Diceros bicornis minor: one gene and its partners. The protein of the gene in region 3 purifies or fractionates together with the protein of the main gene of each other region. This does not show direct contact. Links are inferred from orthologs where the notes say so. Each region holds a gene or a part of one and is shown on either strand. Other genes may lie near its edges.

Evidence for each region.
Region 1: the proteins of BACH1 (region 3) and FAM83D purify together in Homo sapiens (co-immunoprecipitation; 3 studies listed by BioGRID and IntAct, counting the BioPlex papers as one, with this or other methods). This does not show direct contact. The link is inferred for Diceros bicornis minor from reciprocal best matches to the Homo sapiens genes BACH1 and FAM83D.
Region 2: the proteins of BACH1 (region 3) and MAFG purify together in Homo sapiens (affinity purification with mass spectrometry; 5 studies listed by BioGRID and IntAct, counting the BioPlex papers as one, with this or other methods). This does not show direct contact. The link is inferred for Diceros bicornis minor from reciprocal best matches to the Homo sapiens genes BACH1 and MAFG.
Region 4: the proteins of BACH1 (region 3) and XPO1 purify together in Homo sapiens (affinity purification with western blotting; 3 studies listed by BioGRID, with this or other methods). This does not show direct contact. The link is inferred for Diceros bicornis minor from reciprocal best matches to the Homo sapiens genes BACH1 and XPO1.

The regions. Positions count from the first base shown.
Region 1 is NC_080758.1:21,344,008-21,351,587, reverse strand, and holds the start of FAM83D (protein FAM83D), read left to right. Parts: upstream 1-4,576; 5' UTR 4,577-4,584; coding exon 4,585-5,061; intron 5,062-7,580.
Region 2 is NC_080757.1:61,254,651-61,262,266, forward strand, and holds the start of MAFG (transcription factor MafG), read right to left. Parts: upstream 3,011-7,616; 5' UTR 2,958-3,010; coding exon 2,718-2,957; intron 2,002-2,717; exon of another isoform or gene 1,408-2,001; coding exon of another isoform or gene 1,348-1,407; intron 891-1,347; exon of another isoform or gene 409-890; coding exon of another isoform or gene 283-408; intron 1-282. UniProt on the Homo sapiens protein: Since they lack a putative transactivation domain, the small Mafs behave as transcriptional repressors when they dimerize among themselves.
Region 3 is NC_080766.1:30,145,257-30,153,201, forward strand, and holds the start of BACH1 (transcription regulator protein BACH1), read left to right. Parts: upstream 1-4,930; 5' UTR 4,931-5,013; intron 5,014-5,435; exon of another isoform or gene 5,436-5,688; intron 5,689-5,701; exon of another isoform or gene 5,702-5,854; intron 5,855-5,862; exon of another isoform or gene 5,863-6,268; intron 6,269-7,945. UniProt on the Homo sapiens protein: Transcriptional regulator that acts as a repressor or activator, depending on the context. Binds to NF-E2 DNA binding sites. Plays important roles in coordinating transcription activation and repression by MAFK.
Region 4 is NC_080751.1:25,718,182-25,725,102, forward strand, and holds the start of XPO1 (exportin-1), read left to right. Parts: upstream 1-3,908; 5' UTR 3,909-3,997; intron 3,998-6,921. UniProt on the Homo sapiens protein: Mediates the nuclear export of cellular proteins (cargos) bearing a leucine-rich nuclear export signal (NES) and of RNAs.

The DNA of each region.
Region 1 (7,580 bases), on a different chromosome or scaffold from region 3:
GGAGGCCTCCCGCGTCCCTGTGGTCTGGGGGCGGGCTGTCCAGCATCTCAGCCTATGGCTGGAGCAGGGTGGGGATGATCCAAACACACATACCTTTGGCTTTAAAACACTGTTCAGATCAGACTGACACTGAAATTCCTCTTGAGCCGACTTAAGCTGCAAGCTGGGGAATGCAGAGGGAAGCCATACACTCCTAGGAGAGAGCTGTGCAGGTTTTCCGATCTGTTTGCTCAGGGGCCAGAGATTGAAGGCGTTTATTGCCCACTCTGAGCCCTTCTGGCCATTCCCTCCTTCCCCTTGCTTCCTGCCTCCAGGGCCAATCCTCTGCCACCCAGAGGACTGGGAATCCCAACTACAGACTCTTGGGCATTAGCTTATGTTTTCAGTCAGGGACAAACCATTCCCGGTTAGAGCTTCAAGTACCCAGAGAACTTTCCTTGTGGGCCTCCTGGGTGTTGAGGGACAAGCTGGGGCTAGGCCAGGGTCATTCATTTATTCACTCATGTGGTTTACTGAGCAGCTGTGACACACCAGGCACTATGTTAGGTTCTGGGGATAGAAGAGGAACAAGACAGAGTGAAGAGACTGCTCTTTACAGTTTTCATGCCTTGAGGACCACAGGTATCAGCAGCCCCATTCAACTCACCTGAGGTGGAGTGACTGCATTCTGGTTCAGCATCCCTTTGCTTTTCAGCTCCTAAAAGCCCTAGAGTATGAATCCCTTTAGCTGGCAAACCACTGTCATGGCCACCCCTGGATAACATCTGCCACTAAATGCAGATGTTGGATCTTGGGCTCCGGGCAGACACCATGCCAAGTCCGTCTGGAACTTTCAGGGATAGCTGCCTTCAGGCCAGCATCTTTGGGGCACTGTATAATAGCAGTTTGAGGTCCGTGTCTAGAAGAACAAGGAGTCTGGAATTTGCTGCCAAATGCATCTCAGGTTCTTAAACTCATTGTCTCTTGCTCATTTATTATGGAGTCCTTCTGCCCCATCAGTGGATAATGGGAGGAAAAGGAGCTTCTCCTTTAACATTGAAGCCTTTCCTCGTGAGTTGGTCTCTCTTCCTGACAGGTGTGGACCAAGGAGCTGGGAGAAAGCTGGCAAGGTCGACCAGATGCCCAGCTCCCGCTGGACCCCTCCCCCCGCCAGCTCTGATGGCAGTTCCTGGCAGGTTAAAGGAGGCTACCTCCAAAGCATGTGCCACATGGCTCACTGTGAGTCCTGGCCCTTGCTCCCACCCTATGCCCCACCCCAAACAATTGAAAATTGGTAGCAATCACCAGATAGTGAGTTTCTGGCCAGCAGCTCAAGGAAGCTGAATGAACCCCAAACCCAGATCTAATGACTTCAGAATGTAATTCTCCATCAAAGATGCAGCATTGATGAAAATGCTCTGCACTGTTTGATCAATTTGAAGGGCTTAGGAAAGTTAACAAGGGTGTGTCCCCTGTCCTACCCCACCCCAGTTTGCTGGCTTTGTAATAAGATGAGACCTTTTGGTTATTGGTGTCAGACACCTTTGGATCTTGAGCTCTCTCTCCCACTTGCTTTCCCAGAGCAGGATACTGGGGCACTTTCCAGAGGGTGCTCCTTACAAGATGCCCAGAAGGACTATATTTAACTCTTGCTATTGTAGCCTGGGGACAGCCACCCCTCCCCCTGGGCATATAAGAGCAATGGGTCATGTGGTCAGTGGATGACTCCACAGAAGTGACCTCCTTTGCCAGAAGCTGTAGCCCTCTCCTTAACAGGAGTCTCTTGTTGGCCAGTTGGCCAGAGGGCCTGCTTCCCACGGGCACTGCAAGTGCCACAGTGCGGGGCCTGGCTCTGCACACCCAGGAAAAGTCTGCAGACCCCCAGCCCTCCGCAATAATTCACCAGACCAGAAGCCACTGATGTACAGAGAACACTTAAGAAAAATGTATTTTATGTGAAAAAAAAGTTACAACTCTGTATACTGTATCAGCAGCTTTGTGTAAAAATGGCAATCAAGAGAGTCTAATATATTTAAAACTTTTTTAAAAAAAAATCCTCGCGGATCTTTGATATTGTATTGAAGTAACTTCCAGGTAGCTCCTTGCCATGCGGCAGTGGTGGGCCTTGTGTCCGAGACCATGGCTCGACCACATCCCAGAGGGGCATGCCCCTGGAGTTGCTTCCAGCTGCCAAGGCCTGTGACAGAATTCGCTGTTAAGAATTTTTAATTAAGATTATTAAATTTCTTTTAATAACACCTGCTAGCATGGCTGTGGTCATTGCTGTGAGCTCACTTGAACTATGCTAATTTGAATTCACAAAGAGGTGATACCTGGGATAAAGGGTGGGGGAGGGCTCCCCGTCGGTCCCTGCTCCCACCATAGAAGGCTTTCCAGGAGGGCCCTGAAGCAGAGGGAGTTCTGAGGGCTCAGACATGGAGCAGATGTCTGTCTAGACTGGGAGATGGTGAAACCTGATGAATTCAAGAAAAGATAGGTGGTTGGGAATGACCTTCACTCTGTCAAATGTTCTGTTTGGAATTAACGTGGAGGTCTATAACAGCTCATATGTGTGTATATATATATATATATATTTTCACACTTTCAAAGGTTTGTCTGATGACATATTTATATATAACAGGGCTGCCCCTCTCTTCTGTTCTGTTCTTGGAGTGCACCGACTTGTCCTATCCTCTTCCCCCCACCCCACACCAGTCCTTCTCCTCATATAGCTTACAGTGGGGAAGTAAAATACTACATACTACTTCGCATTATTATGACGATACAGCAGGCAAGACCCTGGTTATTCTCACTTTTTATCTCAGGCAGTAGAGGCATTGACAAGCTATGTGGTTGCACAGCCCCAGACCGTGACAGTCTTTGTCTTTGTCATGTGAAGAAGTCTGTTGGTGTCTCGGGAGAGGATGAAAAGGGTGCTCTCTTAGACCCTTGTGGATGCTGGATGCCAGAGCAGGGACACATCAAAGGGCCCACACTTGGGCTTGAAAAACTTCACAAACAGGCTGGGGATGGAGAGAGGATGAGAAGAACAGAGCTATCTTTGAAGAGTGGCCATTCATCCATTTAAAAAGTGTAGTGGTTTCTAAATAATAAGGGTAACCTCTCATATTATGAAGCACTTTAAAGTTGCACATATGCTTTCTCATTTACATGAAGAAAATGAAGTCTGAAAAGAGACTATTCGATTTAGCACTGCGGAACTCATGATGACCTTGACGAGAAGTTTTGGCAGAGCAGAGGAGGATTAAGCTTGATTGGACAGGGTTCAAGAGAGAATGGGAGGAAAACTGGAGACAGCAAGTACAGACAACTCGTTTGAGGTTTTATGCTATCAAAGTGAGCAGAAAGAAAAATGAGGAGGAAGCTCTGGAGGAATGTAGGGTCAAGACAGGGTTGTTTTAAGATGAAAAATAACTCAGCATGTTTGTACGCTAATAGGAATGAACCATTAGAGAAGGGAAATTGAAGATCCAGGAGAGAGAAGAGAATTGCTGGAGAGATACGGGTTAGTAGTAGAGGAGCTGGCAGCTAGGGCCCAAATGGAAGGGACAGTTCACCTGCAGTAAGAGAAGGCCCTGTAAGTGGGCAGAGATACAGACGGGTAGGTAGATGTGGTGGGAGCATGTGGACTTTCTTGTCTTGACTGCTTCTATTTTCCCAGTGACACAGGAAGCAAGGAGAGAGGAAAACGTAGCGTGACTGAGGGAAAGGTAGGCTAGCAGGCAACCTTAAGGGCCCACTTGAGATCATGAATTTAAAGCCCAACCAGTCAGCAGGGTTGCGTTTTCTTTTCCCCAGCCCTATACTGCTGCACGGGTGCAGGTGGAAAGTAGGGGGAGAGTGGGGTTTAACCAGAGTTGTGGTTTTGCCAGGCAAAAAAGGATGACGTGAGAGAAAAGAAAGCTACCTGAGGCTGTAATCAAAGGAGTGACTATTATGGTGGACCAGTATATTTGAACGAATGAATGACTGATTAAATGCAGGGGATAAAGGTGACATGGCTGGTCACACACAAGCTCTGAAAGCCCAGGATCAGCGCGGTCAGTGTGCCCAGGAGCAGGCTCCAGCCTCTCCTCGCTGGGCCCAGGTCTGACCGCCCAGGCCTTTGAAGGGCCGCGCTCTGGGGCGGGCCGGCCGGCAGGGGGCGCGCTAGGATGGCTGAGGCCCGGTTCTCGGGCTTCAGTTCGGGTTCCGCCGCCTGGGTCGCCGCCCCGGACAGCACGGCCACTCAGGCCTGGCACCCTCTCTAGCTGACCGTGAAGACCTCGGCACCCCGCAGGGCCGGAGGAGGCACGGCTACATCGGAGGCAGTGGAGAGGCCCAGTTTAAATGCTGCGAAGCATCTCCGGAGCGAGTGCGTGGACTCGGCCGCTGCCCGCAGCCAATGCGTGGGCGCGGGGCGGGGCCGGGCCGCGGCGCAGCCAGTAGCAGGTCAGGGGGCGGGGCCGTGGCGGCGTGTGCACTCCGCCGTTAGGGGCGGCAGCCAATGGGAGGCCCGGGGCGCGGGCCGGCTAGATTCAAAGGTGCTATAAAGCCGGCTGCACGCCCGCGCTCGCCCGAGCCTGGTCCTGTCGGAGCGGCGTCATGGCGTTGCGGTGCGAGGTCCTGGACGAGCTGCCGGCCGCCTGCCTGTCGCCGTGCGGGCCGCCCAACCCGGCCGAGCTGTACAGCGAGGAACGGCGCCTGGCGCTCGAGGAGCTGGTGGCGGGCGGCCCCGACGCCTTCTCGGCCTTCCTGCGACGCGAGCGCCTGGGCCGCTTCTTGAACCCCGACGAGGTGCGCGCCATCCTGCGCGCGGCCGAGCCGCCCGACCAGGAGGGCGCGGCGGCGGGGGCCGAGGACTCTTTCGGCTCGTCGCACGACTGCTCGTCGGGCACCTACTTCCCCGAGCAGTCGGACCTGGAGCCGCCGCTGCTGGAGCTCGGCTGGCCCGCCTTCTACCAGGGCGCTTACCGCGGCGCCACGCGCGTCGAGGCGCACTTCCAGCCCCGGGGCGCGGGGGCCGGCGGCCCCTATGGCTGCAAGGACGCGCTGCGCCAGCAGCTCCGCTCCGCGCGAGAGGTGAGCGGCCCCGCTGGGTCCCTTGGTTCGCCTTGGTCCCCGGTCGGACGGGGGACGTTCTTCAAGAATGGGAAACTGAGGCCTGCTGGGAACGCGGGCCAGGTGGTCCCGGGGTCCCCGACTTGCGCTACTCCGATTGTATCTCCTCGGGTCCCTAATCCCTCTGGCCGCTCCTTGTGTCAGGGGAGATCGGGAGAAGTCTCAGCCTCCAAGGATGCGAATTGTGTCCAAGGTCCAACTCCTAACATTCACATCCTCTGGGAGAGGGGACCAGAAATACTTCCAGTTCCAAATTTCAGTTAAAACTAAACCGGATTGCAAAATTATCTGGCTATCAGCCAACACTGCATCCCACTTTCAGGGGCCTCTTAGGAGATGCATCATCTAGGAAAAAGTTCTTGAAAGGTTGTCCTCAGAGACAGCTGTGGGCATTAGAAATCTATTTTTGCTAGTCGTCTCATCTTATGTTGGAGAAAGCAAACACATATAAGAGCGGCAAGGTGAAAGCCCTGTCCCTTTCCCTCCCGCCACAGACTGGAGGAGAAGTTGCTCCTTCTGCAGATGGGTGGAGCAGGGGGTTTGCTTTTCCATAGGCTAGGGACTGCTCTGGTTAGCAACAGCTTTCTAAAATGCAGACACTCCTGTATTTGGTCGTCTCTCTATTCCCAGAGGGTTTTGGTGCAGTTGTCTGTCTCAGTGTGACATGGTATTGGGGTGCAGAGGGAGGTTTCATCTCCCTGCCAGCCAGGATGACACTGCAGTAGAGTGCTGGGTACCCCGGGGGTCAGGGAAGAAGAATGCAGCTCGCAAGGTGAGTGGGGCAGCTAGGGTGTGGTGGTAGACACCTTACTCCAGAGCCATGGTCAGCTGCCACCTTGCTATCTGGCAGTGTCCAGCTTCCTGGCTGTCTGTCTGTGCCAGGGACATGGCATGTAAAGCCCAGGCCATGGTAAACTGGTAGACTAGTACATGAGTGTGTCTGGCTGTGGGTTACAATATCCACATCAAGTCCGGGAACAAGCCTTGATTCACCAGTGTTCCTGATGCTGGTTATTCTCTGCCTGACGGTGGGATGGCAGTGGGTAGGAGATACAGTGGGCTAGTGCCTTGGGGGAGTAGATGTGGGCTTTTCCCAGCTAGGCTGGTATCAGCCCTACAGTGCTTTGGGTATGCTGAGGGTCCTTTTCGGGCAGCAGACACTTGTGGGTTCAGTGAGAAGGTTAAAAAGGTGGAAAAAAGCACGATTGTGGGGTAGGTCTGCATTCCCAAAACTCATCTCCAGGAGGAGAACTTGGGCACTTGGAACTTGAGAAAGTAGTGACCAGGTCTCCATGAAAGAGAGGGAGGCATTGCCCTGCCCTCTTGCTCAGCTCCGGTTTTTAGCGGTAGCGAAGGGGCAGTGCAGCTAAGGCCAGGGGGAAAACTGTCCGTAACCTCCTGTGCTGGCCTTAGAAAGGGCTCCAGGCTGGCACTCAGACTTCCTTTGCCCTGTGGGCATTCTGTAATACTGACGTTCCTCGGTAGACCCTCCTGCCCTGTTCTGTGCTCTAGTCCACCTACCCACTCATAGCTTTGAGATTCTGTATTTGCAACTTGGGCGATTTTAAGGAGAAAAGTGGTACATTATCTTTAAATCTGGTGAGGATTTTCAGCATTTCTGCCATATGCCAAATTGCGTGCATTTTTGGTATCTACTGTGTATCAGACGCTGTGCCAGGGGCTGGGGCCACAGGTGAAGGGCATGATTCTTGCCTGCACTTCAGAGTTGACAGTCTGCTGGTGGGAGCGGTGAGGAGGTTGCAACAGGCAGTGGCGAGGGGCTGAAGAAAGAAAGCTGCAGGAGTGGGGGTGACCTGAGAGCTGAGTACAGGGGGTGGGATGGGTGGGCCTAGCCAAGGCAGAGGATAGGGACCTGCCCAAAAGTGTGAAAGGACTTGGTGTGTTTGGAGGCAGCCAGGTTCCTCACAGCTGGATCAGAGAGTGTGTGAGGGTTAGTGGCAGGAGAGGAGGCTGACGGTGGAGAGCGGGGCCAGACTGTCGAGGGCTTTGTACACTGCTTGAAGGAGCTGTGGGGAGCCGTTGAGGGTTTAGAGAGAGGAGAGGAGCGTGATCAGGTTGGGGTTCCTGAGCAATAATTCTGCTGGGAGCATGGAGGAGGATGGGCTAGAGAGAGGGGAGACTGATGTCTGGGCTGGTTGTAGGGAGGAGGCCATGGGGATCTACACACGAGAAAAGAGTCTGTGCGAAGGCAGTGCGGGGGGATTGGGCGGGGAGAGAGTTTTAGGTAGATCATTAGATGTCCTGGAAGGGTGGTTGGGGTGCGGAGGGGATAGGCAGGAGAATAGGCAAAGCCAAGGAGAAGGAGGGATAGGAAGAGTTGAGGAGGACTGAGATTTTTTAGTTTGAGTGGGCAGCAGTGCTACCCAATTCCAATACAGGAGGGAGAATAGGCTGAGGGTAGGGATGGGGAGATGAGTTGGACTTGAGACAGGCTAAATTTGAGGTCTCAGAAACCAGCT
Region 2 (7,616 bases), on a different chromosome or scaffold from region 3:
AAGAAGGAGGCCAGAGGCACCTCCCCACAGACAGGCCACCCGGGGCTCTCAGGCAGGCCCTGAGGCTCCAGCCGCATGATTCTTCCAGAGCAGAAGATGGGGCAGACCAGAGCTGGAGATCAGAAGGTCCTCACGGACCCACACCCACCCTGGGAGTCAGGCCCTCGCAGCGGAGCTGCAGGGGCTCCCCCAGCCTTGACCCCAAGTCGGGGTGCAGGGACACTGCCCTGTGTCCTACCACTGTCAGCCCAAAGGAAAAGCCCTGACACCAGCTTTTCCCACCTGCCATCCTTCTTCCACCCCTGAATGCTGAGCACAATGGTGACTTCCTGAAGAGATCACAAGAAAAGTGCCAAGTGTGGCGGCTGGGAGCGGAAAAGTGCCTCCTCGACAGATTTCACCCTCCATAGAAGGCCTGAACTCAGCACAAGCACAGCCAATCGCCTCCTAATCAAAGGTGGGTGGTGGGGGAGGGGCAGGTCTCAGCAAAGCCAGCTTCCTGGCCTCTGCTGCCCACCTGGGGACACACACTGATGGGACAGAGATAGCCTCTGGGGATGGGCTAGGAGTGATGGCTCAGGGCATCTTTAGAAGCCAGATGGAGGGGATCCGAGGCCGGATCAAGGAGAAACTGCCCCCACACCCACCAGCCCTCCTCCCTGCTCTGCTTCCCCAGAGGCTGAGCCCACCTCATGGAGAAGGAACGGAGGGTCCCAAGGGCCCCAATCCACCAAGGTACCCTGGGCCTCCCACTCAGGCTCAGAGCCAGCCAGGAAGGGGAAAGAGGTTTGGGCAGCTCCATCCCCTTCCCCTGGACCCAACTCCAGGGCATGGGCACTAGGCAGGAGGCAAGCCAGCGACCCCTGCTCCTTCTCCTGGCCTGCAAACCCCGTGGCACTAGGCAGGAGGCAAGCCAGCCACCCCTGCTCCTTCTCCTGGCCTGCAAACCCCGTGGCCAAACCTCCTAGGCAGATGTGGCCTTGGGCACTCTGGTACTCAACCTAACCCGGCCTCACTCCCACCTCCTCCAGAAGCCCTCAGCCACTGAAAGCCACTCTGAAAAAGTCTACAACTTCATTTCCACTAAAGCATAAGTAAATAAGAAGATTTAGGGCTAAGTGTGAATGTGTATGGGGGGGGCATCCCTGGGGACACACCCCAAGGCCAACCTAAGCTAACCATGACCCCTGGGCAAGACGGGTCAGTTCTGGTCTAGACAAAACACTCTCATCCCTGGAGGCCAGGAACCACCCATACACCCAGGAAAGGTGGCTCTGGCCACATTACCCTTGGGTTGTCACTCCCCAAGAGTCCTCAACACCCATCAGGGCCATGTTTTTCATTAACCTCCTCAACGCTGAGCCCCAACTTCAGGTGGGACAACTTTGGGGTGACTGAGAACTGCATTCTTCCACTCTATGCCATCCACACCAGCCCACCTACCGTGCTCTGAAGGCTAGGCACCCTTGAAGCTACCACTGCCTGCAGCCTCAACCCAGAGCCTAAGGCCTGGCTGCGAAGGAGGGCTGGGCCTGCTCACCACTTTGCTCCCCAGGCGTCTAAGTCCTGCTGCTTCCTCTCATTTGCAATTTCCTGGTGGAGCTGCCCCTGCTTGCCCCCTGCCCTGTCCACCGTCACTCAGGGCTCAAGTACAGGCACTTCTCTTTCTCCCACTGCCTCTCTCTCTGGCCAGGGTGTATCCCTATTCTCCCTGCCCAAGGGCTGCCCAGCTTGGCCAACCAGACTCGTCACAGGGAAAGCCTGCTTCCCAGCCCAGCAAGCACGGCCCCCCTAAGCTCCTCCCCTCCTGTAACTCAGAGAACTATTTCCCAGTTTGGAGAACTGTCCCAGATGCGGGTGCAGGACCAGCTGCCAGAGAGTAGCATGCCTGGGAGAGGCCAGACAGGCCAGACACTTCACCTTCCAGACCAGGAGATAAGCTGCAAGGTGGCCCCTCCACTTCCTCCTCACGGCCCTACCCTCAACTCGCTCATCAGCCCAAACTTAAACAGGCGCCCCAGCCCCTGGGCCGGGCTTATTCCCCACATCCCCACGGTTTCCCTCCTACTCCTCGTTTCCCGACCTTTCAGGCCCTGAAGCCCCTAGCTCAAATCCCCCCAGGCATCAACATGAGCATCGAGTGACCTCATGCTGATGACTCAGCAAGTCTCCCTCTGGGTTCTGGCACGCGGGTGAGGGGGCGAAACCGACGGAGCAGGGTCTTCTCAGCCCTGCCACGTGCCACCTCTCTCCCCCGGCCCGCCAAGGACCCCTCGCCCGGGAGGCGATGACACGGACACCTGATGAATCAGCAGCTCCAGCCGGGGCCGCCGTGCTCTTCCGCGGAGCCCCGAGCGTCCCGCTCGACCCCACCCTTTCCTCCCGCCACCCCGGCCGCCCCTCCCTCCAGGGCGCGGTAGGTTCTACCGAGCCAGTCCCGCACACGCCCCGCCCCGAGCTCCGCCGGCTCCTGCGGCCCACCCCCAGCACCCAAGGAGCAGGAGCCAAGAGCTGCTTCCCCGGTGGGGAAGTCGAGGCACGGGCCGCCAGGAGGGTGCGGGCAGACCCGAAGCCAGGAGCGCCCAGCCCGCGCCGCCCCGGTCCACCAGGAGGAGCCGCGGCCCCGCCGTGCCCCCGGGCCCGGAGCCCCCGCCCGCCCCGCACGCCCCCCGCCCGACCCCGCCGGCCCGGCCTGGGCCCGCCGCCGTCTCACCCACCACACTGCAGGCCCGGGCGGGCCGAGGCCGGGGCGGGGCGGGGGGCTCTCCGAGGCCGCGCGGGGGCTCCGGGCCCAGGGGGCGGGGGGGGGGGGCGTGCTCGCCGCCTGCGTGGGCCGGGCCGAGCGCGCTGGGAAGGCCGGGCCGGACCAGGCTTGGGATCCGCCGCCGCCGCCGCCGCCGCCGCCGCCGCCGCTCCACAGACGTCACATGATGTTTGGTCACGTGGGCTCCATTCATGAAGCGGCGACGCGACCGTCCGGGGCTTAAAGGGGAAGGTGCGGCGGCAGCGGCGGCAGCGGCGGCTGAAGCGGCCGCAGCGGCGGCGGCGGAGCGCTCCTGTACTGCGCCTGCGCGCCCAGCGCCGTCGCCCCGACAACGCGCGCGCCCCGCCCTGCCCGAGCGGGGTCTCGCGGGACTGGCGCGGACGCGCGCTCCCCCGCCGGCCACGCCCACCCTTAACCTGCTACACTGCCCCCCACCCCCCCACCCCGCTTCCACAGCGGGAGCCGCGGGTCCTGCCCAGGCGCCTTCCTTACCCTGGTGTGCACACACTTTCACTGGCCACGTCCAGGGGGCGGGTGCGGACCCGCGGTCCCCGGGCATTACCTGGTGTTTCTGATGCCGCACGGCAGGCTCTACATGTATTATTACCTCGCGTAATTGGAGAGCTCTCCTCAGCCATGCCAGGAACAGTGGCCTGGTTCACAGACAAGCAACAGGCGCGGAGAGGTGACAGGCTTGTCCAAGATTCAAACTTAGGTCCGTTCAGGCCACCTCCAGGATCCTCCCAGTAGTGTGATTAGTGTGGTCCGTTTTCACCCGACACCCGGAGAACTCACATAAGTGAGAAGGACTGTGTCTGGACCGTGTCTGGCTCAGAGCAGGTGCGCCTGTAAACATCTGTTAAATTAATAGTTGATGTAGGAACTGTACCTTGCCTTTCCTTTTTCATCAACATCTGTCTGGAACTCAGTTCACGTATCCATGTCTGCTCCTGCCCTTTCTGTAAGGAGTTCTCACTGCTGTTCAAAATTCCCAGAGAAAGACCATGAAGGGGTAGAAGGGAAATCGGAGGGCTCCAACTTCCACTTCCAATTCTGGACTGCTGCTCAGGTGTAAAGCCAGGAAGGGTGACCCACCCTGCCAGGCAGATCAATGGAACCCAGGTGAGCTGACAGAGGAGGCACCCGCTGTGGGGTCCTTGTGAGAATGCAGTGCCACTGAATGAATGAGGAAGGCCAACCAAGGAAGCCTCTGAAGCCAGGGAGCATAAAGCCATCACAAGCATCACCTGCCAGACTCCAGGAACTTCTCTGAACACACAGCTCCTTGTCACTCTCTACTTTGTAGGGTTGCTTGTGGTTCTCGTATCATCCCATGCTCTTTAGGGCAGGGCACATCCCCCTACACTGGGTATAGCCCGAGTGTCACATACTTAGGGCCTTCATGTACCTGTGACATGACTTCTAAAGCCCTCAACTCTTTTTTTTTTTTTTTTATGAGGAAGATCAGCCCTGAGCTAACATCCATGCCAATCCTCCTCTTTTTGCTGAGGAAGACCGGCCCTGAGCTAACATCTATTGCCAATCCTCCTCCTTTTTTTTTTTTCCCTTTTTCTCCCCAAAGCCCCAGTAGATAGTTGTATGTCATAGGTGCACATCCTTCTAGTTGCTGTATGTGGGATGCGGCCTCAGCATGGCCAGACAAGTGGTGCATTGGTGCACGCCCGGGATCTGAACCCGGGCCACCAATAGCAGAGCATGCGCACTTAACCTCTAAGCCACCGGGCCGGCCCCTCAACTCTTTTTTTTTGGGTGAGGAAGATTGGCCCTGAGCTAACATCTGTTGCCAATCTTCCTCTTTTTTTTTGCTTGAGGAATATTAGCCCTGAGCTGATATCTGTGCCCATCTTCCTCTATTTTGTATGTGGGTCACCGCCTCAGCATGGCTGACAAGCCCGCCCGGGTCCACAGCTGGGATCTGAACCTGTGAACCTGGGCCACCAAAGCAGAGTGCACCGAACTTAACCATTACACCACGGGCTGGCCCAGCCCTCAACTCGTAATGTACACAAGAGCAAAGATTTGCCACTGAGGCCAAGGATGCAGTCCTATTGGCTCTGTCTCCTCTAGCTTCTTCACCACCAGGTGCCGGCTCCGTTCTCCTGGTCTTGCTCAGTAGCTGTGTGGACTTCGAGCTATCGCTGGGCTGCGGGAGTACAGCAGGCCCCATCTGTTGACATGGGGCCACCTAGGTCAAGCTGGAACCATGGTGCCATCAGGAAACACTGATAACCAAGTGATTTGGCCCTGGGGCTGGGGGCTACCACAGGTGGACACTCACTGGCTAATCCTCACTCACTTTCCTGTACCCCTGACTCCTCAATCCTCACAGGATGGAGTCTGGCTGCCATTTACACATGAGAGGTAACTGAGAGGCCAATTTATGAATCATCTGCTGCTCTGCTCCTTCTCCCTGAGGGACCTCCTACTCTCGGGAGCAAGGAATTTCCCTCCCCGCTCCTTCTCTCTCCTGGGAACAGACACAGCCAGGAGCTGCTGACCCATTTGTTCTGGAGCTTGAGCTCAGCTTGCACAGGGGCCATGGGATAGGTGTCAGCCTGGCACAGGAAAGGACTGGCAGAGGTGGGCAGGGTAAGAGCCTCAGCCAGGCAGGCAAGAGCCTAAGGCAAGTTTCCAATTAGGAAACTGAGGCAGGAGCTGGATCAAGCAGAGGGAGCTGGCTCTTCCACCAGGTTTACCCAGCCCATTGGGCCAAGCACAGTAAGATTCACTCCAGCCTCTACCCCACTTAGGGGGTCCAGGCCATGGGAGGTGTCAGAGCTGGTAGTGATGGGCCAGGAAGGCACTGCCAAGCTGACCCTAGCCCAGTGAGGCTCCTGCAGTGGCTTTTCTGGAGCCACATTTTTCTGCGGCTTTCTGAGAAGGCACATTGTAATGCTTCTCAGCTGGCATTGGGGGGCCCCGGCCCCCAGAGCCCATCTCCCTCTTGGCCTGCTCTGGATCCATGTAAAACACCTTCCTGCTCTGCTCAGGTCTGTGCTCACACTTTCAGTGGCTTCTGTGGTGTCTCTCCCTGCAGAACGCTCTGGGCCTCGTAGGCCGCCTCAACCCTTTCGGCAGCCTTTGGCCTGCCTGAGTCACAGCCCTCCCTCAGGCCCCATCTGACTCTGTTGCTGCCCCAGCTCTGGCCTGTGGCTTAATCGGAACCACAGCGAGAATGCTCATGGGTCCTGCCTGCTGAAATCCGGCGTCTTCTTCACGGGCCGGCACCAAGCCCCGCTGCAAAGCCTGTCTGGACTCCTGTTCTTCTTCCAAGGCTGTGACATGCCTCTCCCCCACTTTAGAGTCACCTGGTCGCCTCTCTCTGACCCTCAGACCTGGTGCGTGTGGCAGGAGCAGCACACCCCCCCATCTTCTTTTTTTTTGGGGGGAGTGACCAGGACTCTCCAGGCTACCCTGACAGGGACGAGGAACGCAGTCTTGCCCTTCATTTATCTCTTGTGCATTTTCTTCCGTTTTTCCTGTCTCCTTTTTCCCCTTAGATTTGGAGGCTGTACCTTTGTCCCCAAAGTGCCCCTTCCACCCACCCCACGTGCCCCAGGCCTTGGTTCTAAGTGGGCCCAGAGGAAGGAGAACTGGAGATGAGACCCTGCAATGTGGTTCCTCGAAAACTTCTGCCCAGCTCTCCTGATCCCCTCCTCTGCTCCTTGGGGGGAACCACTGCTTCGCCTGGGGCTCCCCCCACACAGCCCACAGACACCCAGCCCAGCTCCCCTAACATACTTGAGCGTGTGTGTGTGTGTGTGTGTGTGTGTGTGTGTGTCCCAACCTCTGGAAACAAGGAGCCTCATCTTACTGTCTGCATGCTTGGTAACTGTTTGTTGATTGAACCAATGTGAGCACTCCTGGCCCCAGAAAGGGTTCTGACCCTCAGTAGCTCCTCTGATCTTATGGGCCTCCAGTGATGGTTAATTCTATATGTCAACTTGACTGGGCCATAGGGTGCCCAGATGTTTGGTCAAATATTCTGGCTACTTCTGTGAGAGTGTTTTTGCACAAGATTATTTTAATCAATAAAGCAGACTGCTCCCCATAATGTGGGTGGGCCTCATCCAGTCAGTTGAAGGCCCCAATAGAACAAAGACAGCCCCTCCCAGAGTAAGAGAGAATTGTCTAGCAGACTGCCTTCCGGCATCACCTATAACTGCCTCTCCCTGCCTGATGGCCTCTGAACTGGAACATCAGCTCTCTGTAGGTCCAGCCTGTACATGGACTTGCTAACCTCAACTGCATGAGCCAATTCTTTATTCTTTATAATAAATCTCTTTTTCTCTATATTTATCTTATTTTATATATATAAACCATTTCTTATTGGCTCTGTTTCTCTGGAGAACTCTAATACACCCCCAAGGGGGCTCCTTCCTCATGTGACCCTGGCCCCGCCTGGGTGAGATGAGGAGACATTTCCCCCACCAAGCCAGGAGGCTTGGAGGATGCAGAGGCTGGTGCCCCTCCCACAGCAGGGCACGCCAAGCCCAGCTTATGGTACCAGCTTCCATCCTGCCTCTAGTGACTGAGGCCAAAGGGCTGCACCCTTCCCCGGAAGCTCCTTCCCCCTCTGCTCACTGGGATGCTCAGCCCCCCCCCCACCCCCGGCAGCCTGGCTGTTACACTGGACAACAGTTCTCTGGCCAGGGGATGGCCTCCCTCCACATGTGGTGACAACATTAGAAGTCAGGGCACTGGGGCTGGAAACCAGTTTATTTAACGTAAAAGGTCAGGGAGAAAAGTGACAGCATCTGTGGGTTGGGTTAGGAATGGGAGACAGTGGACTGAGTGTGCCAGTCACCTCAGAAGTTCAACCATCTGAGGA
Region 3 (7,945 bases):
TCCTTGGCCAAGGCACCCAAGGCAGTGCAAGGGATGTGCTACCTGTGTTTGCACCTCTGGTTGTCCTTTTCTTGGCTTTAGATTTTGATGAACTCCTCTTTCTGACAATCGTATTCTTTCCTTATATGTTTTAATGTATTCACTCTGGTTACCCCCAAGTCTTGACCTGGTGAATCACTCAGGGAACTGGGAAAAAGCATATGGGACCACTTACAAGGTAACCGGCCAAGGGACAGTGATGCACCCTGTGGCTAACCAAGGTGGGCAAGTATCACCACCCCTAGAATGCTGCTGCCTTGTCTGTAGCTTTCGGTGAAGGCTGCCTGACAGGAGCTGGGGCCTTTGGTAGAGGAATATAGCCACAGCCAGCCCCTGGCCTGGCAGGGAGACAGCTGTGTTCATGCTGACACCTCCCATCATCCACATACAACCAGAAGTGAGGGAGCTGGGGAACCCATGGATGTCGTGCCTAGAGGCCTGCCTCCTGCAGCACAGAACAGGGTGGAGAAGGCTGGAGAGGGAATCTGGAGGGGCCAATGGTGAAAATCCAGCACCCCCAAATGACGGTTCTATCTCTTTATGGTAATATCAGTCTCTCTCCTCTGACCCAGTTGGTCTTACTTTATAGCTTTTAAACCTCAGAGGTCAATCATCCTAGTCCATTTCCAAAGTACTTCCTACATATGGCACCCCAGTCCAGGGAACCGGCTGTCATGATAGGAGTCACAGCCTGTGTCCATTTTCTCTTCTTCTCTAAGAGTTCAGTACTTCTTCCTCTCACTGTAGTGGCTCCAGTTCAACCTCATGTTAGCTCATCATACCTGACTGCTAAGAAGCTACAGATAATTTTGTAGCTCATTTTTGTCAAGGGTATATGTTATGTGATATGTACTTTTAGCTTCTTTCCCTGGCTCCATTGTCTTTTCTTTCCACTTATTTCCTTTTTCTCCTTTGTTCCTTCTTTTAATTTATATACACGTCTCATATTGGAGCATGACAACATGTAGGTCAAGGTTTCTCAGCTTCGGCATTATTGACACTTTGGGCAAGAGAATTCTTTGTTGTGAATGGGGGATAAGGTGGCTTTATTCACAAAGTATTTTATCCTTGGGGAGTGTTATGTGCATTATAAGATGTTTAACAGCATCTCTGGCCTCTGGCCACTAGTTATCAGTAGCACCCCCCTCCCTTCCCCATATCAATACCAATATCTCCTGGGGGGCAAAATTGGCCTCTCTTGAGAAGCACTGTTCAGGTGAATGAAGTGTTATATGCCAGATGAAGTAAAACTATGAGTTAAAACACGGCCCCACTACTTGTTGTGTCAGTTTTACTAAAAAAAAAAAACACACAATTATTTTGAGAACACTTTTATCAAAACAAATATATTATGGAATAGAATTGAATACCTGCATGAATTTTAAAGATAAAAGATCAAGTGCTGCAGGTTATAATCCTTGGCGTCAACATCAACAAATACACACAACAAAGCTATCGGGCTGGATTTTTCTCTGTCCTTTGCAGCCATGTGACTGTGGCTGAAGGCTCTGGCCGTGCTGTTTGTGACTCAGCACCAAGCACAAACATCACTGCTTCCACAGGTAGGCACTTGCACCAAACATTAGTAACTTGACCGCGGCCTTGAGGGATTGGTTACATCAAGCTTTGTGCAGTCTTCCGTCATCTTTATGGCTGCAACTCGACTCTCTCCTCTCTCACCTCCACAATTGGGTGCAGAGCAGCCAGGCTACCCCCAGAATCCTGAGGGTCTCACTTTCTACCCCCCAGCACTTCTATGTGTGTACGTGTGTATAAATTTTAAGTACAATTTCCAGCATTAGCTTCTGAGAGGATAACAATTTCTCTACAACATTATACAAATATATACAGCAGAGTGAGGGGAATTTGGGGCACAACTAATCCATAATTGAGGAAAATCTGGGAGGTTCTTTTGGCTGGGGCTGCAGTCATGTACAAACTTGACTAGACCAGAACATCCAAGACGCTTTGCTCACATGACACATTTGATGCTGACTATTGGCTGGTTGTTCTGCCAGGGCTATTGCCTGGAGAGGCTACACATGTCCCATACTGGGCTTCCCACAGCACAGTGGCTTGTTTCTGAGAGGGAGTGTCCCGAGAGATATCGTTTCAAGAAAGAAAGTAGAAGATGTTAATCTTCTCAAAGACGAGGTCCAGAACTGACACAGAATCACTTCTGTGTTCTCTTGGCTATGCAGTTACAGGGCCAGTCCAGATTCAAGGGGATGGAAAATAAACTCCCCTTCTTGATGGGGAGAGTGACAAAAGTTTTTCAGCCATTTTCAGTGCACCACAGCTTGCAATTTGGAGGCACAAGAACTTTCCCCTACTTGGACCCTAGGTTGAGCCACTCTGGTTGTTGTTAAATCTGGTATCTGAGTAGCACCTCTTTTACCAATTTGGTCCCTGTCCTGTTGAGTTCTTCTGCTCCAATAGTGTCTTCTTCCTGTTCATTTTTCTGCCTTTTTTTGATCTTAGATTTTGTGGACATCTGAAGCCAGAGGGTACATTCCTTTCACCTTACCTTTCCTTTCCTATATCAGGTAAACACTACGCCGTGTTTGCCCATCTTGCTCAGGGAAGTTCTGTCTTCTAATAAAATATGTTCATTTTGCACAAAAACCTTCCAACCTGAGGGTAGGGGTTTTATGGTTTCAATCCATAATCACTTTTGAGGGAAGAAGCGTCAATTGGCATTTTTTCAAGTTGGTGAGACCTATGCTTATTTTATCTTGGTAACGCCCCACAGTTTAAAGCCTATTTTGTTGATGGAATTGGTGAATGAATATTTAAAGACAAATAGAGCTAAGGTAATGAAATTGGTGTGAATGAAGTGCTCTGGAATTAGCATCAAAAAACAATCATAACATCAAGACCTCTATACACCCTTCAGCCCATGGGATAAAGTCCAAATTCTAGGAACAGTGCATGAGGCCCCTCCCAGTCCGACTTGGTCTTATTTTATTCCCTATTTTCATTTTTCACCCCATCCCTACTGCACACCATAAGCTCTAACTCAGGACTTCTCAAGTGCGGTTTGAAGACCATCAGAATCACTATTAGAAATGCAGATCCCTGGGTCCCACTCAGACATATGAAATCAGAATCTTTGAGGGCAGGGCCCAGGAATCTGCATTTGAAAAGTGCTCCAGAGATTCTTCCACACGCTAAAGTTTGAGAGTCACTCCTAACTGCCTTGATATTCTCAACACGTTGGTATACCTTTGTAAGACTTTTCAAATGATGAAACATACCCGAGTCCATGCCGTAATTTTCAGGCTAGAAAATATCACCACCATTATCTAGGGTAAAGAAGGAAGAGTTCCTCCCAAAGAGGAGGGCCTATTCTTCCTCTAGAAGAAAAGGCAAAGGTGTGGGAGGAAGGAAGAATATAACTCCAGCGGCTTAGGGTGGAAGAAGAGTGAAGCCTCAAAAACTCTCCCATGTGTATAAGAACCCCAATCCTTTCACCGTCTATGCCCAACTGTCCTTTCCTCCTTTCTCCCTAGATATTTGTACCCCACCACGAAATCACAGCCTGGAATGCCATCTGCCTTTTACCTCTGGATTTTTGCATATGCACTTCCCTCCCTGGACTGCTGGGTCCTATTTTTCCCAGTTGAGACCCAATGCATATACTACCTGCTGCCTTGATTCTAGGTCATAGTGAATCACTTCACCCCTTGCACTCCCATACAATTTCACTTCTGTCATTTTCTCATGTATTTTGGATGTGGCTCAAATGTCCCTAAGCCCCATAGCCTGTGAGTACAAACGCAGTTATGCTAGTGATAATACCTGACTTTATTATCTTGGTAGCCTTTTCCACCCTGGGAGCTCCAGGGCTGTCTTCCTGTGTTCAAGAATGAGACCACACACCCTGATGCTGCTGGGTGTGGCTGGCAGGTCCCAGTGTGTTCACGTCTCCTTCCAGATTGATAAGCATAGGCTTTGCCACGTGCGCATCTCTCTTTGCAGACACTGTTTGACCTCCAGAGGTGCTAAATGGCTTGGGAACATAATTTTAAAACTGACACTTGGATAAACACCAGAATAAACACCAGAGGACTGAAGCCCGACCAGGGCTTGAGATCAGCCGCTGACACCACTGGGCGCTGAACCCGGCTCCAAGTTTCCTGGCAGCCACAGGGTAAAGGGAACACCTGTTAGCCGACGCTGTTGTTTCCTTTGTCAGACAGAAGTAGGGCTGCCAGATGCTTTCTACAAAATCCTGGATGCACTTGATACTTTCCCATCAGTAAGCTCAAATACCTTGCGAACTTCGGCGCCCGGCCACGGGAAGGCAAGGGAGGAGCTCTGCCTAGGGGGCTTCCAGAAGCGACCCCTGAAAGGGTCTGGGGAGGGACGTCGCCGGCGCTTGTCCTTTCTCCTGTGGTCCTCCGGGCTCGCGGCGGCTTTGCTCGATTCCTGGCGTCCTGGCAACACCTGGGGCGAGGAGGCCGTCAGCCTTTTCCTTTCTGCCCTCAGCCGGGAAGGAGGAGGCGGTCCTCGGGTGGCTTTTCCGTTCAGGCGCCGTGCGCGGAGCCCGCCGCCGCCGCCTCCCCGAGGCGCAGCCCGCCCCGGGCCGGCGCGCTCCCTCCCCGCAGCCCCGCGCGTGGGCTTCAGGCCGCGTGGCCACGGCCGCCGGGACCCCGCCCCGCCCCGGCGGGAGGAGTGAGGCCTCGTGGGCGGCGGGGCGGGGCCTCTAGTGGGGGCGGGGCCTAACCGCGCGGGGCGGGCCTCCTGGGCGGGGCCTCGAGAGATGGGCCTATGGGGCGGGGCCTCGAGCGGGAGGGCGTTTCGGCGCCTGGAGGCGGCGGCGGCCGCGGCGGCTGAGGGGAGGGAGGTGAGGGGAGGGAAAGAGAGGCGGCGGCCGGCCGCGGGCTGAGCGTGAGTCATCTGACCACTGCCCGCGCCGCCCGCCAGGCTCTCCCGCTGCCGTCAGTCGGGCCGCGCCGCGCCTCGGCTCTGGTGAGTGGCTCGACCGTCCCGCCCGCCCTTCCCCGGGAGAGTCCGCGCGGCGGCGCGCGGTCGGTGCCGCCGGCCTGTGAGGGGCGGCCGGCGGGCAGGCCCGGGGGAGGCGGCGAGGGGGGCCCGGGCGGGGGCGCTCCGTGGGGCCGGCGGGGGGCGGCGGCGGCCCCCACGCCTGGAAGCGGCCGCGCCCGCCGGAAGGGGCGCCCCGTGGCCCTGCGCGCGGCCGGCGCTGTTGTTGACGGGCCCGCGCTGTACTTTGCCCCCGGGCAGGCCGGGGGGCCGGCGGGCGGAGGGCGGGGCTGCGCCGGGGGCCGCGGGGTCCGGGCGCGCGCTCCCCACCCCGCCTCCCCTCACCGGGGTCCGAGCCCGGCCCGCCCAGCCGAGGCCCGCCCGGGCTGTGACACATCAGCACCGCCCGCGCGGCCGGCCCGGCTCCGTATTGTCCTCCCGCCCCTCCCACCAGCCTCCGCAGCCGGCGAGTGTCTGCCTCCCGTCTTCCCAGCCCGGGTGTGTGTCGCGCGTGTAATCGCGTAGAGAGGCCGAGCGTGTGGCTGGAGCAGAAATACCGCCTTGCGGGGCTGCGTTCAGCGAAGATCGGGTTAGGAAACCGGAGATCCCAGGGCTCCCTTTGTTGGAGTTTCGCCCGCACGTTGTAATGACTCCCACAATACGGTGAGAGTGGGCGTGGATTACAGAGACTCCAGCTTTGTGCTCGTCTGCTGTCACACGAGGGCCATTGCTTTCTCACTCTTGCACAGCATTTTCCTGTCATTGAGTAGAATCGTGCGGAATGCTGTTGTGCAGTGAGTCTGCTGCGTTAGACTTGGGCTGATTCAAGGTACAGTGTAGTAGTAATTGTGGAAGAACGTGTGTGGGCAAAACAAGCCATAATGTCATGCTTGGAGGAACAAAGACTGTTTTGTAGGGATGCTTATCTTTTTGGAGAATTCTATCATCGTTGGGACTGTTATCCGTGGGGAATGCCACTACTAGGTCTTTGCTTGTATATTTTAACACTCCTTGTTACATCCCTGAGGGTGTGCGTTTAAGGCGGTTCAGAAAGATAAAGGGTGGAAACACCGGACGTGTTAGTGACAGAGCACTTGAGCGCTTCACATGGTCAAGCAGAGAAATGGGAAGAGGGCTTGCTTCTTCCTGGTCTTGGGTAGTGGTGCAAGGGCTGGGCTGGGCTTGAAGGCACTTGCCACTTCTGCCTTGGGATTAAAGAAGCCTTGGGAAAGGAAGACTCTTGGTGAGTCAGCTTGGAGTAGGATGGCCTTGGTTTAATAATTACGTCGCATCGTGTATTATTGTTGTTTAAGCTGTAGCTGTGTCGACTGGTTTACCGTTGTTCATTCAATACTACGTTGGTTGGATAACAAGGTAGGATGACTCCTTAAAAAAGTTGGGTTGCTGAGTCATTCGCCCCAGCCTGAGAGGTAATTAGGAACAGCTGGTGCAGATACTCCCATCACATGCCTCCACTATAAAAGGCCAAGGAGCACTCAAGACCGGTTGCTTCAGAGGGCTGAAGGGGACTCAGCTGGGGTTGTCTGTTTTGATACAGGTAATAAGTGGGTGAAGTGCAAGAGCTTTTCTTAGGAAGTGGCCAAGTGGAGCTGAGGCGGTGTTTAAACACAGAGCAGCCTCGTGACCTACTGCCTGAGAATAAGTTTGTGCTGGAGAGAGCTAAAACTGGGGAAGAAATTTGCAGCTAGAAGTAACCTAGTAACAGTATTGTAACAAAAATACTTGCTAATCTGACAGTACTTTGTTTTCTGTTGGCCTTTTGTGGTTTTGTTGTCGTGTGGTTTACACATTTCAAAAAGTGAACCGAATTTGTTCTTTATAAAGAGTTCTTTATGAGAACACAGAAGGAGACTTCCTCTTGGTTTTCATGGCCCTTGGCTTTTCATGCTTATGCCAGTAGTTTCTGGTGGCAGAGGTGAGGGTAAAAAGAATATGGGTGGAATTAGCAGGTCTCATTGGGTCAAGTCCAGAAAGAGCTGTCTAATGAAAGGCAAACCATATATATCTGTGTCACTCGCTTATTTATGGTGCTGGTGTCTTTACATCTCGGATCATTACTTCTTGCTTTAAAGATGAGCACACGACCCAAGGATACTAGTTCCTATTGCTAAAAGAGTTTGAGGATGGGAAATGTGGAGTGGGCGAATCTGACCTTTACCTGTGGTTAAAAGAATGACTAATTCCTACTGATGATAGTTCATTTAAAACATTTTGTGGTAGAAAAAAGTGGTTAATTTTGTTGTTTTAAGTTTGGTACTAGAGGAGATTAGAAATCATGAATTTTTTAGGGATTAGGGTTTCTGAAGTAGAGTGTAAGGTGATTCATTTGGAAGAAAATATTAAAACTTTGATTTTTAAAACTTTATATAAAATAAGGAAGACATTAAGCATCAAGATACAGATTAACAGTAATATATACATATTATATAATGTGGATGCATGCCCCCTATTTCTGTTGGGGAACATAAAGAATTTGTTAATCCCTGCCAATAACATTCTTTCAACAACTGGAGTTTTTTTTTTTTTAACTTCTGATTTCCTCTTAAGAGCTATCATTTTTTCAAAATGTTCTTAATATTCATTTAATTTTTGTTTCGTATGTACTATTCTTTTTATACTGTAAAGAGTAGAGGCTTGAGTGTCAATTTCTTATTACATTGTTGATGTCAGGAATGGAAATACAAAAAATACGGAGTTCCCCATTACATATGATACCGTGTATTTTTAATTTGGAGACAAGCCAGGTGATTGGTTTATGTAATGTATATGATCCGAAGTGTAGTAATATGTAGAAGGATGCAATAGGAACACCTGAAGATAATCTACACGTTGGAGTGTAATTTGCATATAACAGATTCTTTAAAAACTACTCTATGCTGTTGAAGTCTGCGTTTTTTGG
Region 4 (6,921 bases), on a different chromosome or scaffold from region 3:
TATTTTTAAAAAATTTTTTACTGCATTACATGGGCATTCAATCTGATTATTTGTGTATTCTTTGAAGAGCTCACCGTCAGTGGAGATTGTCTTCAGAGCCAAAAGGTCAAATTAAAACACAAACGTTGCTTATTTGACTCTAGTGTGACCTTAATAGCAAATATCTGTGACTTTGATAGGCAATAAACAGGTACTGTTCATATATTGTAGTGAGTATGTAAATTGGCACAATGTTTTTAGGGGGCACCTTGGCAGCACCTATCACAATAACAAATATACATGGGCTTTGACATAATAATTCCACTTTTAGAATGGTAACCTAGTGATATATTCACATTTGTGCCCAAAGATAAATGTACAGGGACACTCACCGCAGCATTGTTTTTAAGAGGTAAACTGGAAATAGGCTCATTGTCCTCAGTAGGGGAATGGCTGAATCATTTATGGTACTGAGAAGATGGGGAAAGCTAGGGGCTGTTACCAAGGATGAGGTGGATTTATACATTCTGACCCATTAAGTAAAAATCAAAGTCACTGAACAATATGTATAATATGATGTCATACATGTTGAACAAAACACAAAGCAAATACATTTGTAAATGCATAGAAAATATCTCAAAGCATACACACTACACCCTTAATGATTATTATCTCTAGGCAAAAGAACTGGGGAGACATATGAAGGAGACTATTACTTTTTACTGTAGATACTTCTTTCTCTATTGTTTGAATTGTTAACCATGATCATGTATTACTTTTTAAATTAAAAATAATTTAAAAAATAGAAATAAGTGACAAGTGGTAAAAAGGAATTTATGAGTTTGTTTCTCTTATTTCTGATGAATGTTGTTTCGTGACACCATGTGAACTAGTAGAAAGAACACAAACGTGGGTTCTAATGTTGACTCAACTACTGTGTGGTGGTGTGTACCTGTGTGCATGTGTATGTGTGTGTAACAGAGGGCAGGGTAGAGCAAGAGTGAGATTTGCAAAATAATAATTGTCTTACAGGGTTGCTGTAAGAATTCAGTGAAACACTGTACAAAAAGGTCTCTGTTGCTACACAACAGGAAGGCACTTAATACAGTTTACTTACATTTCCTTATCCATATCTGACTCCAGGTTTGAAATCTGTTTGATTCCAACAAATGAAGGTAATAAAAAAAATATTAGACACATGTCAGACCTATGTTCCGAATGTGATCCTGAAAACACAGTGCTCAAACATAATTATCTGCTCCTGTCACTTCTTTTTGCTCTTGTTAATAACAAGTTTATATTGAATACTTCCATTTTGGCTAACTCTAGGCAAAAAATATTTACATCTGATTCACTATGGTCAAAGAGATATGACCTCCTGGGGACAGGAGTTAAAGCGGCAAGGAAAAGAGCCAAAGAAGGGGATAGCAAACTGAGACTATTCGAACTTGACAATCCACAAAGTGCTTTATGGGTCACACTGCTCCTTCATATCCCTTTGATCCTTACGTGGATGAGACAGGCATGGATGATAACAACCTCATTAAACGGGTGAGAAGGAAACTGAGGCCCAAAGAGGTGAAGTGACTTGCCCAAGGTCACACTCTGAGCAAAGCCATGGCTTACTCCCAGTTTTTATTCCTATTATTCTGCCATCTAAAAATCAGTGGACTGTTCCAAGAGCTAAATATGTAGAGTGGAAAAACTTTTTAAAAAACAGGATAGCCTCAGTGTTTCTGGTAATAGAATGTAAGTACTCTAAATGATCAGTATATATCATACGTATTATGGCTTGATATTATTCAGTTAGGCAATGAATAAAAATCTTAGGTCTGAAAGTCATCCAATATCATTTTGGTGAATCTAGGCATTAAGTTACTGGGTTTTTTCCTTATTGGAAGGTGAGGTAGTTACTCTCGAGCGCTGCTTTGATGTTAGCCATTACCCATTGTGAGTGAAGACTTGCTGAAGTAAATTGTGTTGATTTAAGAAACCATTTATCAACCTCTTGGTGGCACAATGGGCCTAGAAAATTTTGGAGGTCTGCTTACTGTTTCTTAAGCAAAGAACAATCAGTAAAGCTGATTTGGAGGGCACCTGGGGACAAACAAGAGAAAAAAACATGTGAAAGGCCACGTGCCTGTGACTTTCATAGAAAATACTATTTGGTGATGACGAAGTATGTGATAGGGCAGCTCTGCTGAAAAGAAAAACCGTGGGTAGGGGCAGATGAAGGGCACCAGGTGGGAGGTAGTTTACCCACCAAAAACATGCGATGTCAAAAAATTAAAAAAAAAAATGTGATGTTAAACCAATTACAGGGATTTTAGTGTCTTAGTTTTTAGGAAGGTTGGTTTTTGAAGCAGCCAAATTCCGGCTCGGGGAGACGCTGAGTTAAAATTTGAAGGACTATTTAGGTGTCTTTTCCAGGACTCAGAAGATCCCGAGGCGCCAAGAGTGCACGCCCCACACCTCACCCCAACCTCTTTCAGGGTTATTCTCACACTCAACTCCCCGGCCCGAAACCCAACTCTTTAAATTGGATTACAGAGGTCCGGAGCCTACAACTAGCCTCCGATGTGTTCTTTTGGATCCTTTTTTCCTCCCCTCCCCAAAGAAAAAAATAACAGGGTGTGCCGTCCCTTTGCGTACCGCGGCCCCCATCCGAGGGGCGGGTCCTGATCCCGGCGGGCTCAGGCCCCGCAGCTTGGCGGGAGCCGGCGAGGGCGGGCCAGCGCGAGTCGGAGGAAGCCGAGCGAACGCTGCCGCGCGCCGCGCTCAAACTCGCGCCACCACCCGTTCACGAGCTGCGCCCCACCCTCTCCGTCACCCAAGGCGCCCAGCCAATGAGCAGGCCGGAAAGGCCGGGCCTGCGGGCTAAGCACTGGGAGGGGGAGCGGCGGGAGGGGGACGGGAAGTCGAGGGCGGGCTTCGCTTGATTGACAGCTCGCTCAAGCCAATCCTCCGCGAGGCTTCTCTTAGCTCCCTTCTCCGCTCTGCTCAGCTCTTCGTCCCACCTCCTCCTCCACCACCCCCCTCCTCACTCCTTTTTGACCCGCCCCTCTTCCCCTCCCCCACTCTGCGGGCAAATCGCTGCTGGAAAGAGGCGGGGGCCGAAGCGGCGGGCTCGTGTGGAGCCTTGAGATGGGACTGACGGGCGATCTGACCAATAAAAGGTAGGCTGATGGCGCGGCTGTGGCTGGAACCGGCCAATGGGCGGGCGGGCTGGGGGCGGAGGCCCAGGTTCCAAACGCTCCGCGGCGCCATGGGCTGAAAACTCAACCGAGATGGAATCTCCCAGTCTGAACCGGTTTCAACCGGTTCCGAGTTTGAGGCACTAGGAGGAGGGGGAGAAGCGGCTGCAGCGGCCGCGGCAGGAGCAGCGGGAGCTACAGCATCAGCAAGAGCAACAGTAGCTACAGCCCCGGCGGCGGTGCCTGTTCCAGTCTTTGCTGCTGCAGTCCGTGCAACCACCCAGAGGGGGAGGGGGGAACCACCAGTCGCTGAGAAGCAGGAGAAGGGGGGAAAGTTTAGGCGAGCCTGGGTGGGGGGGCCTAGCGCCGGAGCCGCGTGAGAGAGGGAGCCGTATTTTGGTAGGGGGGAGTCGGACTGCAACTGGCAGCAGAGCGTCCCCCGACCGTGTGGACTCTACACCCCCTACTCCTGCCGCTCCTGCTGCCGCCTGTGGCTGGAGGGTCCCCCGGGGGCTGAATCTTTGGGACTTGACCCCGTTCCCCTCCCCCTTCCCTCACTCCCCGGCCAGGCGGGAGCATTTATTCCACAGATTAATTCCCCTTTTGGGGGGGGCGGGTGGGTGTGTGTGTCGGGGGGAGGTTCCCTGAAATAGTAAATATTGTTGAGCTTTTTTTGCCCTTATCCTCTTGGTTTTTTTAATTTCCTTTTTTAAGGTGGGAAAACTGTGAAACCCACCTTGATTTCCTCCCCTCTCCCCCCTCCCCACCTTTCCTCGCCCTAATCCCCCGACGAGGAAGGAAGAAGCAGTTGGTTCAATCTCTGGGTAAGTCGACTGTGTCTTCGGGGCCGAGGGTCGGGCGGCGGCGCGGCCGGGCGGGAGGAGGCCGGCGTGGGGCGCGGCGGCGGCCGCGGGAGGCGAGCCCGGGAGGCGGCGGCGGGCCCACAGCCGAGCCTGCGATTGAATGGAGCCGCTTCTGCCGCTGGGGGATGGAGGCGGGGAGGCGGCCGCGGGAGGGGAGCGCTTGCTGGGTCATTCGTGTGTGCGGGTGGCGGTGGAAGAAGGCGAGGGGCGTGAGAGTGAAGTGGGGCCCCGCGCGGGGGTGGAAGGGCTTCCCCAGCCCCTGGGCTGGGGAGAAGTTGCGGTGATTTCAGGAACATTTCTGTAAATTATTAGGAGTGGAAGTTTCCAGAAATATTTAGTGCAGCAGCATTGAAACGTCCGCCTGCATCACGTGGCCCCTCGGTGGAGCGCTTGGGATCGGGGGAGGGAGGGGCTGCCGCGTCCCTGCTCCTCCTGCAAGGAACTCGGAATCTTCCTGGTTTTTGGCAGAGTAGGATTAGAAGTAGGAAAGGTTAGTTATTTTTCAGGGATCTGCAAATGGGGTTCCGTGCTGTAGTTTGTTTTCGGGGGCTTGAGCGTGTTAAGTGATCGAATTATTTACTGCTGGCATTGTACAGCAGATGATGCCGATTCTCCTTCATTCCGATGTCTCTTGAGTTTGGGGTGGGTGAGAGGAAGTGGTATAGTAGAGGAAGCTTTCAAGATTTGCCCAGCCCGGACCTCCTGTGATCACGCAGAGGCCATGCTGCATAGAGAATGGGGCGGTGAACTTCAGGCGCCTGCTCTAAATGCCTCCTCCGAGTATGGGCGGGGTGAGTGCGTGCTCCTGTATGCTATAGTTAGAAGTGCTGCAGATCGGTTCGGGTGGGAAGCGAGGGGAGGGCGGGCCTTACTGAGGTGTGTTTCTACTGAATGGAGGAGGCAATTGGCCACACACCCAAATAGCAGCCTCTCTCCTTGTAGCGACTTGTTTTTTTGACCTACTGTGTAGTTAACATTTAAGCAACGGTTATGATTTTCTGGTTTGGGGATGGGAGCTGGCAGTGTAGCTGCCTGCCTATTCAGTCTGAAGTGGCAGTGAAGGTATTTTGGTAGTCATTTGTAGAGTCACCACATTGCTGGGTAATCCCTTGTATATGCTATCCAGTGAGTGGATTTTAGGATTGAGTGTCCCAAGGAGAAAAGAAAGCGTTTGTGGTTTCACTTCTCTCGCTATGGCTGTTTGCTATCTGCCTGATTGTATATCTTAAGCGTGTGGGACAGTGCTGTTAGTGGAAAGAATGTTTTGTTTTGGAAGCTCTTTGATTTGGGGGACTAATTGTGCTTGGCATTGACCAGAAAGCCGCCATTTCTGTCCTACGTACAGTTCAAGAATAGGTAGGTCATTTCGAAGATAGCCGCTAGTTCTAAGGATGGCAAACTTATGTATTTAATACAAGCTTCTATTCTAAACCTGATTTTTCACAAGAATTTAGCTCGAAGGACTCTGTAAGGACCATATACTTGAAAATGAAACTTTACAGAGTCACTTTATTTTTTTATTTTGGCCTTTCAATTATGATAGGGCTAAATAGAAAAGTTCGTTCAAATTTTAACCAAAAAAAAATCGAAAACTTTTGATAACGTAGCTCTTGGTGCTTTGTGTACATTGCTTTTCAGCCTCAATTTTTAAGATTGTTCTGATCTTTTAAAATTGTATGGTACTTGAATGGGGGGAAATTTACCCATTTATTTGTGGAATATATATTTCCTTTTTTATATTAGTATTTATCCTTTTTTATATTAGTATTTAGAGCAAAGATTTTTGTTGTATTTGTCACGTATTCTGTATTAAAAACATTTAAAAACTGCTGTAAAATATTTTGAAATCTTATCAGTTTTACTGTCTATGGATCAAGCCTTAAGAGGAATAAAAATCCTTGAACTGTTTCTCGATTTTTACATTATATATAATAAAAAAATTAACTGACATCCTCAAGACTTCTAATCTGTTGTAATTGACATTATCAAGTAAAACATTTGAGTTGAAATTGCTGCCATTATTGTTAAGAACATCTTTAAGCTGCTATAAAATGGCCAAGAAATAACATCTTTTTCCTATCAAGCTACTTTGTCCAGGCACCATGTAATCAAATTAGCCACCCATTTCCTGATCCTGGAAGGTTTTTAAGAGGTGGAGAAGTGGAGATAACCATCTGATCTTGTTGGGTCTCCCAACAGTAAACCAGAGGTTCTTAGCCTGAGGTTTCTTGCGTGGCTTTCAGAGTGTCCTGAATCTTCTGTAATTGTATACAAAATTGTGAGTTTTTTTAATTTGGCAGGAGCTATCATTTTCCTCGGATTGTAAGGCGTCTTGACCCAAAAAAGGTTAAAGAGTACTGATTTAGCCCGTCAGACTTCAGTGGCACTGGCTTGAAGAAAAAGCAGAGGAAAGAGTTTTATAATGCTGGGCAACAAAAATGTGAATGTGTGCCAGCACTTTGGAATAGAGTCCTCTTAAAAGGATAACATTGCATATGAACCAGTAGGTTTTAGCCAGTACATTATTTGAGGTGAAGAAGCTCATTTTTCTGTTATGATAGAATTTGTTTTTGTTTGGGAAATAGTTGGCAAGCTTTTACAGCTTTTTACCTTGCCAGTGAATACCTGGAAATTAAAAAAAAAAAATTGACATATTAGCATAAAGGTTTTTTTCTAGACTATATTCAAGGAATTTGTACACTTGTGATTTTAATCCCCAAGTTCATTGAGGGTTGAAAGAAACAAATATAGATGGTTTAATTGAGTGTAGAAACTTAAGTTCTGTAGAAGTTAAGGGTACTAGATTTGTTAGACAACTTGTTCCTGCTAATCATTGCTATATATATCATAGGAAAACTTGTATACCACGTTTAATTTTTAGCATC